3 linked regions of the Sus scrofa genome follow. The protein of the gene in region 2 interacts with the protein of the main gene of each other region in a biochemical or structural test. Links are inferred from orthologs where the notes say so. Each region holds a gene or a part of one and is shown on either strand. Other genes may lie near its edges. The genes, in order: STK3, GABARAP and RETREG1.

Evidence for each region.
Region 1: the proteins of GABARAP (region 2) and STK3 form a complex in vitro, tested with the Homo sapiens proteins (2 studies listed by BioGRID and IntAct). The link is inferred for Sus scrofa from reciprocal best matches to the Homo sapiens genes GABARAP and STK3.
Region 3: the proteins of GABARAP (region 2) and RETREG1 are reported together in a solved structure, tested with the Homo sapiens proteins (2 studies listed by BioGRID, with this or other methods). The link is inferred for Sus scrofa from reciprocal best matches to the Homo sapiens genes GABARAP and RETREG1.

Annotation. Positions count from the first base shown.
Region 1 is NC_010446.5:38,303,994-38,307,986, forward strand, and holds the end of STK3 (serine/threonine-protein kinase 3), read left to right. Parts: intron 1-1,416; coding exon 1,417-1,575; 3' UTR 1,576-2,784; downstream 2,785-3,993. UniProt on the Homo sapiens protein: Stress-activated, pro-apoptotic kinase which, following caspase-cleavage, enters the nucleus and induces chromatin condensation followed by internucleosomal DNA fragmentation.
Region 2 is NC_010454.4:52,594,892-52,599,394, forward strand, and holds GABARAP (gamma-aminobutyric acid receptor-associated protein), read right to left. Parts: upstream 3,276-4,503; 5' UTR 3,170-3,275; coding exon 3,080-3,169; intron 2,538-3,079; coding exon 2,459-2,537; intron 2,320-2,458; coding exon 2,201-2,319; intron 1,734-2,200; coding exon 1,668-1,733; 3' UTR 1,239-1,667; downstream 1-1,238. Other genes in the region: PHF23 (PHD finger protein 23), read right to left, coding at 108-141. UniProt on the Homo sapiens protein: Ubiquitin-like modifier that plays a role in intracellular transport of GABA(A) receptors and its interaction with the cytoskeleton.
Region 3 is NC_010458.4:5,876,624-5,881,478, forward strand, and holds the start of RETREG1 (reticulophagy receptor FAM134B), read right to left. Parts: upstream 2,839-4,855; 5' UTR 2,674-2,838; coding exon 2,369-2,673; intron 1-2,368. UniProt on the Homo sapiens protein: Endoplasmic reticulum (ER)-anchored autophagy regulator which mediates ER delivery into lysosomes through sequestration into autophagosomes.

The sequences.
Region 1 (3,993 bases), on a different chromosome or scaffold from region 2:
GTCCCCATGCCCTAAAGGAAGCCTCTCTCCATTACATTTAAGGCAAGGGTCATTTCTTTTTTTAATCAGGAATCTTTAAAATCTTTTTTTAAAAAACAAAAAACAATGGATGCTTCCTTCAGGAAGATGTACACGAGAACATGCATAATTTTGCACAAGAAGCTTATTCATGGATTTAAGAATCTCTCACTGTCATCTGTACCACATAAAATAGGACTTAAGGTCTTGCATCAATCCTTAAAAGTTATAGTTGCTAATCTTACAACTAATTTGTAAGTTTCTCAAGGCAAGGAAATAGTACTTCTTTACTCTCTTACAGTTCCTACCAAGATAAGTAATAGCAAACGGTAAATCATTGTGCTTTAACAGATTTTTTTTAATTACCTGCCTGCCCCCATTGCTTTAAGAGTCAGTTTCTGAAGGAGACAAGAGTTCTGGATTTTTTTTGTTGTTGTTGTTAAAAGTGTTAGGTTATATATTTCAGGGCATCCTATGAGCCCTGAGGCAGTATCCCTAAAATATGTTTATCAGGAGATAACCCGTATCTTACTGACTTGACATATAAATAAATACAATAAATCTCAGGATGCCATAGATCCTGTTACATCGAACAGATTTTATCTCCCATTCACACAGGACATGAGGCCTGCCTTCTGTTGTTACACAGAAAACCAGTAAAGGATGCGCTGGTGGTATCCCCAGAAGCTAGCACAATAAAACTAAATCATTCAGTCAAATCATACCATTACTGTATAATGTATACAGTGAACATGTGAGAAGTATTTCACTTTCAAATTGGCCAAGCCCCATGTCAGAACTTACATGGCACTGTTTGTACTAGATTTAGGTTATTTTGAATCATAAGCCCTATTCTATCAAAATGCTTGGGGTAAAAGTATTCTGGATCATTTAATTTTCTGATTAACCAAGTGCTTAAAATTTAAGCCTTTGGTAAAATGCAGGCTAGAGCAGTCAATTTAAGCTGTATTCAGTCTTGTCACATTCTTGGGGGATCTCTGCAAGTATCTGTGATTGCTGTAGCGCTCCACAGCTGGCGAGGCTGTGCGAGATCAGAGGGAATACATCCCCAACTTAGCCAGAAAGTCTGTTTGGTGACAATGGTGGATGTATCTTTCTGCCTTTTTTAAACACACATTTTTGTTAGCTTATTTTTCTCATTTGTTCTTTCCTAAAAGCAGAAGGGTTTTTTTTTGTTTTTGTTTTACTGTTTCATTGCAAATTACTTGAGGTTCTTTCTCGCAAGATGTGGCTTCCTGATTCTTCAAGGAAAGAATTCATGTTTTAATTGTTGAGCCATATTTCAAAGATGATGTAAAGAGTTGAAATATTCCTGCTAAAATTCATTAGACTTTAACCCATTATAGATAATTATTACTTTTTTTTCCTTACACTCAGTTAAAAAATCTAAGTTTAGAAGAACTACAGATGCGGTTAAAAGCGCTGGACCCCATGATGGAGCGAGAAATAGAAGAGCTCCGTCAGAGATACACTGCGAAAAGACAACCCATTCTGGATGCGATGGATGCCAAGAAAAGAAGGCAGCAGAACTTTTGAATCTAATTTCTCCTCTGTTTGTTTCTATGACTGTTCTGGAGACCAAGAAACCACTAAGAATTGAAGGGGTATTATGCTATCTTTTTCAATCTCTTAAGATCCGTGCTCTACAACCAGGCAGCAGTCAAAAACTGACGATGGTACAAACCCAGGTAAATTCCCCAAAGACAGAATTTAATACTGTATCCACTGTGTTTTCATTTTTTAAATAATGAAAACAGCAGAAATGGTGTTCTCTACATCTGTCAGCTGCATACCAGTACTAAAACTGTGTTTTAAAACGAAGGCTGTGTTTAGAAACCTTGAAAATCCAAAGCTGTTGTGTAATTGTACAGCACCGAAGGGCTTTATGTTACAGTATTCTTTATTCTTTTCTATTAGCCTATTTATTGTATCCCTTTAGGTAAACTTATTTATTTATGCTATTTCACCTTGTTTTGTTTTTTAAGGACAAGATCAGGATAGCTTTGGTGAAGGCAGGGACTATTACTAGATGATAATGAACAACCCAATTATACTGTAAGCAGGGAGCTCTGGGGTACATGCTTTCATTTCCAGGATAGTTTTCCAATAGAAGCAAAGCAATAATAGCAATAGTACCCAAAGGGCCCAGGCATTTTTTTATACAGAAGCAATAATTCCATTTTTACCTTCTGAAGTTTTAATTTTTTATTTTTGATGCTTGGTACAAATAAAACTATATATATTTAGGTCAGACAGAGCTGTAATGTTTAAAACCAAAGAAATCAATGGAACCCTTGCACAAAAAAGCATGGTAAATTTTTTAAAAGAAATAATTCCTTAAGACAAATGTAATTGTGAATATTGTTTCATGTGTAGGTCTCATAGCTAAACTGTATCAAATTGTAATAAGCTCATGACATTTTTTCTGTGAAAATGTGCTCAGTTGTCACCAGACATTTTTGTTGATTTCATTTATTTCCTGGGAATTGGTAAACATCATGTGCCTGATGATAGCAAAATAGCAGAAACATTTGTACTGAACTGTGCAAGCCTTGGGGACTGATAAAGATTAAAACTATTAAAAAGAAACTCATTTCTAAGCTGAATGAACATTTGCATGATTGAACTGGGACCAGTCATTTTCCTAAGCTACATATGGCCATCTTGACAGCGTTTGTTCTTTTGTGTGTTTAATTACTACATGTAAATCATAAAGACAAATAAATTTTACTGTGCCACCCAACACATTTCATCTCTGTATCTTTTTTTAAAAAACTCATGACCTGGATTCTGTCTTTTCCAGGGCAAGGAAGGTATATTTGTCTGGACAGGCTAGATTATGCTGTGATAACAACTCTGAACCCTTCAGTGGCTTACCGCTAGCCAGGTTATTTGGCACTTGTGTGCCCTGCTCCCATCTTTCATACCCAGGGACCCTGCTGACAAAGCTGTAACATCAGTGCTCACCACATGCTGACAGGCTCACTAATGACTACCTCAGGAGGTGTGTCATCTCTGGAAACTTCTGTTCTCCAAAATGGCAGCGTTGGGGAGTTCCCGTTGTGGCGCAGTGGAAACAAATCCAACTAGCAACCATGAGGTTGCAGGTTTGAGCCCTGGCCTCACTTGATGGGTAAGGATCCAGTGTTGCTGTGAGCTGTGGTGTAGGCCAGAGGCTACAGCTCTGATTCAAACCCCTAGCCTAGAAACCTCCGTATGCCATGGAGGTTCCATTTTCACTAAAAAGCAAAAATAAAACTAAAATAAAATAAAATGGCATTGTGCCCCAGGTAATGCCTGGAGTAGTGTTTCTTTTGCTGTGTTGAGTCCTTACAACTAGTAAACTGTGTAACTGGATACAAATTATAAGATCATTAAAATAGTGGAAAATATTGAAATTTTTATAAGTTATTAAAATATGAAAACTGAATTTACAACATATACTTCAGCTACATCTGTTTGGGGCAGTCAGGGGAGTCAATCAAACAGCCCACCCTTTATTTCTGTTTCTTAATTGCTTTTCTTTTCAGAATTGCCTAATACCTCACCAAATTTGATGAAATCAAATGACTGATTTGCTATCATCCAAGTAAAACCACCTAAATGAAATGACAAGAAACCTATGAAGATGATTTTGCTCCAGTTTGCTCAACTAGACAATTTATTACTAATAGGCTCAATAAGAGTCTGCCTTTTAATAATATCCCATGTTCCAATCCCAATTTTTATGTAAATACTTTATATAAAGTTGTTACTGTTATATTTATCATTATACACACACCCCTTTATCCAGAACATTTTTAGATAATCTGTCTTAAATTTTTCCCATCTTCTCACTCTACCCGCCACCAATCAAAAATAGGAATTTAAAGTTTTGAAGAACCAAAAGCCATGAGAAAAATCTTCAAGTCTAGGTCAGCCATGATTAATGGTTATTCTTAGGAAAGAGTTTTC
Region 2 (4,503 bases):
CTCCCCGCGCTCCCCCGCTGGGCTCCCGGGCTCGACCTCCAAGTTTGCCAATAGATTCCCCGCCCGCCCCCCGCCGGCTCAGGGCTCTGTGCCGGTCGAGAGCTCACCTTCGGGACTGGGCTCCGCCATGGCTTCCAGCATCGCCCCCTCCCCTCCTCCCGGTCCGGCGCCCCCCTCCCCCGAGCCGGGGATCCCGGTGCCGCCTCCGGTGCTCGGTGCTCCTACTGCCTCGCTTCACAGAGGTGTCTGCCTCGGCCTGGTTGTGACTCGAGTCCGCTAGCCGCTGCCGCCACCTCCCTTTACCACTGCCTCCCGCACTCCCGGACCGGGCCCCCTCCCCCCGCGCCGCCGGCCGCCTGCTCCCTCCTCCTCCTCCTCCTCCTCCTCCTCCTCTCCTCCCTCCTCCTCCCTCCCTCCTCCCTTCGCGGGCGCCGACGCGCAGTGCATCAAGGGGATTGTGGTCCGTCTGGGGAAGACGGAAAGGGGACTTCATACGCCTCCGGAACTTCAGTTCCCAGCAAACCATGGGTTGGCGCAGGCGTACTAAACCGCTCTCCTCCCCCGGGGAGTGGCGGGGAGATTGGGAGCAGAGGGGAAAGCGGAAGAGTGCGCGTAGACTTCTGGGAAATGTAGGCGGGGCGGGGCTAAGAAAGAAGGGGAAGAAGGGATTAGATCTCTCGGCCACCATACTGCCTCATTCTGCGGCTTCTTTTTCCACCCGGGGACCGCCCCACTTCCGGCTACACGGAGACTTGGCTGCTGGGAGATGAAGTTCTCGTGGTAATAATGGCTCCCTCCTCCCAGTCTTCTCCCTAACTTGTATTCCACTCTACTGGAACCCGCACGCCGGCACAGAGTCTGGCTAAGGGACATATACCTGAGGACAGAGTTCTTTTACCAGCTCCACACTTGGAAAAAACCCTTCCTTGATTCAAAAGGTTATGACAAACTTGGATGGGATATCCAAAGCAGGTACTTTCAAACTTTCTCCACTGGAACCCACAGTAGAAAACCAACTTTTTTTAACCTCAAGCCCCTATCTATACACGGGTACATAACACAACTTTCATGAAATGATACTCAGAGTATTCCATCCATCACAACAAAAGCACACTTTCTCTGCACAAGGAAAAGCCCAACATAAGGAGAAGAAATAAAAATACATTACTATCCCTCCAACCTCCCTTTCCCCCATTGAGTAGAGAACAAAAGGCAGAGGGCAGCAACACAAAGCAAAATCCAGTTCAGCTTGGTGGTTTCCTCTTTATTGATGTGTATCCTACCTTCCCCGCCACAATTCAGTCCCTTCCATCTACCCCCCAAAAAGAAGGTAGTGAAAATAAGGGATTGTTGGGATCCTGAGCCCCCTGGGCAGTTAGAAAGGAAACAGAAACCAAAACGACCACTGGATGTGACAGAGATGGACAATCAAGAAGTCTAAAGCTGAGTGGGAAGGTGGTAGAGAAAGGGAAGGAAAGGAGTACTGGAGGCCATCTCCCCCATTAACCCTTGTTTTAAGAAGGGCTGGAGGAGAGTCTCAAACATTAGGAAGTGTAGGTCCTGAAGAAAGGAGGTGGTGTTTGAGCCTCAAGGAAGGACAGGTCGAGGAAGGTGGGCCACCTCTCTCTGTCTGAAGAATGGGACCCCCGACCTTAAGGGCAGCAGCTTCACAGACCATAGACACTTTCATCACTGTAGGCAATGTACAGAAAGAAGTCTTCTTCATGGTGTTCCTGGGGTGAAAGCAGAAAATGACAGTGCTCAGGCACCTGGGCTTTAATTACTTGAACCAACCACCACCCAGGCACATTCTTCCAAAAACATTCTTTTTGAAGACCCCCAAAACCAGTGCTTTGACTCTCCCTCTCACTTGCTCCAGACCCTAGCGGCTGAGCAGTATTATCCTAGCAGCAGTCCTAGGCATAAAAATCACACATTGTTCTCTGCTGCCTCGAAATGGGGAGGGGCCTGGGGAAAGTCCAGATCACAACAGTTGCTCCAACTCACTGTTCTCTTTTCTCTCTACTCCCACTGCCCTGTCTAAATCCCCAACCCAGAACTATAAGGAGATTTTAAAGCCAAATTTAAAACTGAGAGCTAAGTAAGCCAACTAGTCCAAGACCTGCTGACTTAAAACTTCCTGCCTCTCAAGTGCTTCCAACTCCTCTCCAAAGCCTCCACTACTTCCCAGACACTATACCTGGTACAGCTGACCCATCGTGGCACTGGTGGGTGGAATGACATTGTTGACAAAGAAAAACAAGGCATCCTCAGCTCGGAGATGAATTCGCTTCCGGATCAAGAAGTAGAACTGACCAACTGCCAAAGAAACAAGGTCTGAGAAAGTCTGAGGTCACAAACGCCTTCAAAAGAACAGCTGCTATGTGGAGCCTCCTCCAGCAGAGACCACATTCCCACCCCCCAGGAAGCAAACCTGGCTACTGGGTCAGGTTCTCACCTGTGAGATCAGAAGGCACCAGGTATTTCTTTTTATCTAGGTCTCCTATCCGAGCTTTGGGAGCCTTTTCTACTATCACCTGATAAAGAGACGAAAATTAGGAGACATTAGGTATACAGGCCCACAGCTCCACCTGTCAAGAACTCAACATTCCTAGCATCCCTACCTACCCCAGACTCATTTCTCTTTGTCTCTGAACACGCGGCGCAGTCCTGAGCAGGGATTCTGATCCCACTGACTCAAACTCACCTAAACCTCCAGAATCCCTGAATAGGACGTCATAACAAACAATGATTTTAATCAAACAGGCATGTCTTGTCTGGGCCGACTAGAGCTTCAATCTCAAGCACCCCCTGTGAAGCTCGGAATGTCAAACGCCCTACACGAATCCAAGGTCTAGCTCTCGCGCCTACATCCCCTTAAGCCTACATCCCCTAGCCCCCCAGTTCTAATGCTACCCCACTCCTTTCACCTCCAGTCCCACAGACAGCAGTTTCGGGCTCATTCCCAACCCTGCCACAGCTGGCAGCCTGATGCCCGCGCTGCGGGTCTCGGACTCAAGCCCAGGCTGTGGCGTCAGCGCCAGCGCCCCGCGCCCTCGGCCCTGGCTACTGTCCTCACCGGCACCCGGTCCGGGTATTTCTTTCGGATCTTCTCGCCCTCAGAGCGACGCTTCTCGAACGGATGCTCTTCTTTATACACGAACTTCATCCTCCCGGGAACCGGGTTGGACCGGGCTGGGCTGAGGGAACCCGGGGGGGCCGGGATGGGGGGCGGCGGCGACGGCGGCGACGCGCGGGCGGATTCAGCGGAGCGATCCCGGACCTTGCGCCACTTCCCTATTCACCAACCCCGCCCCCGGCCGTCAGAGGCCGCCCCACTCGCTATGTTACGCTCCTAGCTCAGTGGCCCCAACGCCACTAGCGTAGCGCCACCTACTGACCTCCCCCCTCACGCAATCAGCGTAATCGCTTTGGAATCAATTTACGGGCTACGCAGGCGACGTAGGAAAGGTGGCTGGCTTTTTGCTATCATAGAAAATAACTGAAAACCCATTTCCTGACTTTTTCCACAGGATGAAAAGGGCTTGGAGATGGTAATCATAATTTGAGACTTGGTTCTCCGAAAGTGCTTTTCAGAAGTAACAGAGGTAAAAAAGCAGATAATTACAAGGACAGCTATTCAGGAAAGGTGCTGGTACGCTGAAGGCGGCGGTTGACACCAAAACAAAGTAGTACCCCAATGGAGCAAGCGGTCTTTGGAAACAGAGGAGGGCAGAAACGAGACCTATGTTTGGAAAGACGCTTATGTTTCCAGAATGCTTAGGTTCCAGGAATGAGTGGACGAATAGGGACTGGAGAGGTCTGAAAGGTAGGGACTACGTCAGCGCGGAGGAACACAGTCTTCGCGGCTCACGGAGAGATCATGTGATCGCAGAGAAGGGCGGGGCGTCACGTGGCGAGTGCGAGGAAGTAGAGCCGGCTGCGGCTGGGGGAGCAGGGCCAAGGGGAGGGAGGTGGGGCGCCAGGGGCCTGGGACACCCCCCCCTCCGCCCCCGGGGGGCTGCGCCCGCTCAGCTAGTCTAAGTCAGGCCCGCAGACGAAGCCAGGCCTCTCCCAGCGTCCAGTTCTCTTTTCCTTTCAAACTTTTCTGTGTTACTGTTCGGAAGCTCACATTCCCTCTGGACACAGGGCTGTTCTTTCGCTCCCGGCCAGGGTATCATCCTGCCACTAAGACCCTCCCCGCCAGGGTGGCCAACACCCTCCCCTCAGGTCAACAGCTTGCTCCTTACCCTCTGCCCAGAGCCAGGGTGGGTGTGAACAAAGCCCCTTCATTTCCCCCAAACCCAGAGAAGGACCTAGGGCAGCTTTGGTTTCAAAGTTATAATGCATGGTTTAAGTAGACGAAAGAAAAAAAGAGAAAGCTCGTTACAGGTCTGAGGGACTCTAGGAAGAAGGGAAGATGGAAAAGGAAGGGAAGGGACAAGTTTGGGGAAAATCCAGTGGCCCAAAATCCCAGTTTCCCACCCACAGCCCAGCCCTTGG
Region 3 (4,855 bases), on a different chromosome or scaffold from region 2:
AGCTTTAGAGTTCTTGGGACACAGAATGCCACATAATAGAAGTCGCTTGATAAGAAGTACACTATTTAGAGAAAACAATGTCCTTGAAAAATGTTTTAACCTCAGAAACAACAGTGGGGAAAAAAACTAAAACATTTCAGTGAAATTAATAAATTTCCATGTCACCACACTTATTTTAAAAAATGGATGGAAGACATCACTCCTGAATAATACCAAATATGCTTTTCAATTACTTTATGCAAAAATCATTCATTTCAATAGATGTTACTAAGAAGACATTATAGAAAAAAATATTTGCAACTCATGTAACAGAAATCAGGCTAAAGTTCTTAATATAAAAAGAGCTCCTATGAATCAATATGAAAAAGCCCAATGGCTCAATTAAAAATACAGACAAAAGTTATCTGTAAACAGGTAAAGCAAAGATAATTACAATGGCTCTTGAACACAAGAAAACCATGCTGAACCTCAGAAAAATGCAAATTAAAACCATATTTTGATACCCTTTTTCACCTATCAGATTTGCAAATCAAAAAGTTTGATAAAATGCTGCTGGCAAGGGTATATAGAGAAACAGACAGTCACACACGTTGCTGGTTGGAGTATAACTTGGTAGAACTCCATGGAAGCGCAATAATACAGTGATAGCCATCAAAATTACTAGTGCACATCCCTCTGATTCAACAATTCCACTTCTGAGAATTTATGCTACAGAAACACTGGCTTATATGCAAAATAATGCCTGTTCCCGCCTGGCCACTAGCTACAACATCGAAAGAGCAAAAGTTTGGAAATAATGTTGGTCCATCAGTAGTCCACAAATTAATCTGTGACAGTGATACTATGGGATTCTATGCAGCTGAAAAAGAACAAGGAAGTGATCGAACACCAAGAATAAAAGTAGTCCAGATGGTATTCCGCAATTTGTGTAGAATACTATGTATTTGCTGAAATATGCACTATCTGGAAAGATACACAGTAATCTGGTAACATCGGTTGCTTCTGGGAGGAAACTGGGTAGCCAGAGACAGGCATGATAGAGATTTACAAAGTGTTTATCCCTTTATACCTTTAAATGTTTGAACTGTGAGACTATTAGCTATTTTTTAATAAATAGAATTTAAAACCAAAGAATTTAAAAAAAAAAAAAACATGTCTCTCACTGGTAAAATGAAGGAGCCTCAGCCCTAAGACTACTGGACCACTGCCCAGTCTAGCATCGCACACTATATCATCCTTGTTTGAGTGCTCATGGTTAACGTCATAACAGGTTAGAGAAATATGGAAGGAATACTCTAGAAACATCCCAGAAAAGTTAATTCACATTCAGGGGCCCTGATAAGAAACAGCTCATTTCAAGAGAACACCAGAACTAGATCTGCAAGAACAGAGATCTGCAGGAAAAGCCTCCAGCTTAAAAGATCTAACCTAGAAAGGGGCAGGCTATCCATGTGTTGTTCAATAATTTATTTTCTAACTTAAAGGTTAAGAAACTTATGTCCTGTAACAAGGTACCTGTCACTGAAACTCTGCCTATCCTAGACTGCATGGGTCATGCTTGCTATGAAGACACAGTTGCAAACAAAGGCTTTTCTCCGCCCTCCACCAGTCTGGTAACAGATAACAGTGCACATCCTTCACTGAGGAGTCAGACACTTCCCCTGTCTTTAGAGGTGAAGGGTGCTTTTTGAAGGGACAAACCTGTTGATCAGGGGCTTTTCAGAGAACATTTCTTTGTATTATCTCTGTTCTTCACCCCAAACACGACTGTTTCCCATACTGTGCACACCTGGGGGTTGGGGGCGGGGTGCTGAGCATAATCCACCTGTTTGCCTCTTGTTTTCTCATCAGGGAGTAAAGACAGTAACCCCAACTCTCCAGGGAACGGAAAAACAAATCACTCAGTGCCCATCTCAGGTGGCCGATGGAGACCTAAGCTGGTCCAGATATGCCCGCTCTGGGTGTATAAACGAATACAAGTCCAAGTAGATGTGGTCCAGCAGGCTTTGGGCGAGCTGATCAAGACCTGCGAGTTTCAGAAGGCAAAGGTCAAGTACGCTCTGCGCACACCTGTCGGCCCAGGTGCAGGCGGGTCAGTCTACTACCTCCCCTGTGAGGCTGGATATATGCACACGGAGGATGACCACTGTTTGCAGGGAAGTGCGTGTGCAGGAAAGTTGAAGTGCCTGTCTACCTGTTCCAGAAAGGTAGTAGAGAGAGTGGGCCAGGGCTGAGACCTTCCACCGCTGGGTCCCGCGTGCACCCCCTACACCGGGGCCGGGAGCGCCCTCCGCCTGCCCATGGGCGCCCCAAGGTCACCTGCCCCCCCCCCCGCCCCCGGGCCTCCCCACCCACCCTGAGCTCTCACCAGAACAGCAGGTTGGCCCCGATGAAGGCAAGCAGGCTGCGCAGCGGCCTCCTCCAGCTCAGGAGCTCGTCGGCGCGGCAGCCCAGCCACAGCACGGGCTCCCCCAGCAGCCAGGTCACCGCGGCGGCCACCCCGCCTGCGGCCTCCTCCACCTGCGGCCCCGCGCCCGCTGCCGCCGCCGCCCCTTCCTCTGGCGCTTCCTTCTCCTGCTCCTCGGCGGGAGCCCGGGGCGGCGGCGCCTGCTCCGCGGCGGCTGGAGCCGGGCATCCCTGCGCGGCTGGCTCCTTGGGCGCCGGGCTCGCCATCTTCAGCAGCGCTGGCGGGCGGGGACGGGCACGGGCACGCGCGCGGGCGTGCCTGGGAGTCGCGCAGAGAGGGCGGCGGGTCCTGGTGCGGGGCGCGCACCGCGGGGCGCGGGCGGCTGGGTGCCTTGTGACGTCAGCCCCGGCCGAGGCGGGGCGCCTCCCGGGGGAAGTGGGTGCGGCCAAGTTCGTGCGCGGCCGGGCGGGGCGGGCGGCGGGCATTGAGGTGCCGGGCGGCCTCCCCAACCCGCGCTGGGGTGCGAGCGGGCGGCGTCCCTGGGGAGCGGTGGCCTAGCTTGGGACCGGGGAAGCGTGACCCCTTTTTCCTTTCCAGACGCGGTAGAGGACCGCCGCCAGCGGTCTTATCTAAAAGAAAAGTCACGGCAACGGGCAGAATCAGTTGGACATCCTCACTTTCTCATTCCAGGGCCACCGATCGCCCATCCTGCAGCCTTAAAGGGTGTGTGACAGGCGGCCCCTCCCCTGGCAGCAACCATTCCCCACCTAGACCGAGTGCCCTTGCAGGGACAGCCTGCACATCCGTAGCAGAGGTCTTTAGTCCTCTGGGAATAACGTGATGGTATAAAGGCTGGATTGAGAAATGAAAGGAAAAAAAATTGGGGGTCGGTTCAGGAGCGTCTGGCCCTCTTGTTTTAAAAGTCAGGAAACGACAGGCCGCAGCGATGGGGGATGGGGCTTCCTCTCTCCGACTTGTGGGCAAATTCATCTGACTCACAGATGCACGCTGGGCTTCAGAGGCACAGGTGAGAGGGGAGCTGACTAGCAGAACCCCTTGAATGTGTCACGCAGGTCTGGCCACCCTAGACTTCAGTCATTCAAAGTGGTCTCTGTGTCACCACAGGCATCAGAAGAGGGGCAGGACCCTGTGAGAGGGGTACCGGGACTCACCCCCTGGTGCTTCTGAGTGAGTGTGGGGGATTAGTGTTTACACTCACTTTTCATTATCGCATTTTTTTTTTTTTAGGGCCGCACCCACAACATATGGAAGTTAGGAGTCTAATCGGAGCTTCAGCGACCAGCCTACATCACAGCCAGAGCAGTGCAGAATCTGAGCCGAGTCTGCCACCTACACCACAGCTCAGGGCAACTGCGGGGTCCTTAACCCACTGAGCGAGGCCAGGGATCAAATTCTTATCCTCCTGGATACTAGTCGGATTCTTAACCCTCTGAGCCACAACAGAAACTCCCACTATTTGCATTTTTAAATGTTCTATTCTTTAATCCCTGTTCTTACTTTTCTCTAAGGTAAAATGTCCCTTCCCCTGTCCACAGCGGTCTACCTATGATGAGTCAGAGCATCCTATAGCCTCTTGGAGTTCACTGCTGGCAACCAACCTTCCTTCACAGGAGGGATGCCTCTCATTCCCAGAGCAGTTAAAGCCAGTTGTTTCCAGGGAGACTCTGGAGAATGTTCTATAAAGTTCATCTGGTGGTCATTATATATGTACCCATATGTAGAAATGCATTGATCTGTACTTGCAGATGTGTGCACTTTACTGTGTGTATGTTATACCTAAAGAGGGTGTATTCCTAGTTCACTCAAAAGGTTGCTGAGCACCTACTATGTGCCCAACACATTGTTAAGCTCTGTCGATATGGCTTCCACCCACAGGAAGCTCACAGTCCAAGGAGAGGCCAGTGACAACTGCGATTACTGCTGTAATGGAAATACTCACTCAGGGCTATGAGACCTCACTTAAGTCATGCATCCAAAATTAGGGACATTGGTGCAGCAGAAATTATCACAACCTTGTAAATTAACTGTACTTCAATAAAATGTAAAAAAAAAAAAAATTAGGGACATCAGAGTTCCCATTGTGGCTCAACAATTAAGAATCCAACATAGTGTCTATGAGGATGCAGGTTCAATACCTGTCCTTGATCAGTGGGTTAAGGATCTGGCATTGCCGCAAGCTGCCGTGTAGGTCACAGATGCAGCGTGGATCCCACGTTGCTGTGGTTGTGCTGAAGGCTGGCAGCTGCAGCTCTGATTCAACCCCCAGCCTGGGAACCTCCATATGCCACAGGTGCGGCCATAAAAAGAAAAAAAAAGTAAACAAACAATCCCCCCCCAAAAAAACCCCAAAATTAGGGACAGAGCGGAAGAGTCAGGTTTCAGAGGGTTCTCTGGAATAGATGGCATCTGCCCTGAATTATAAGGAGG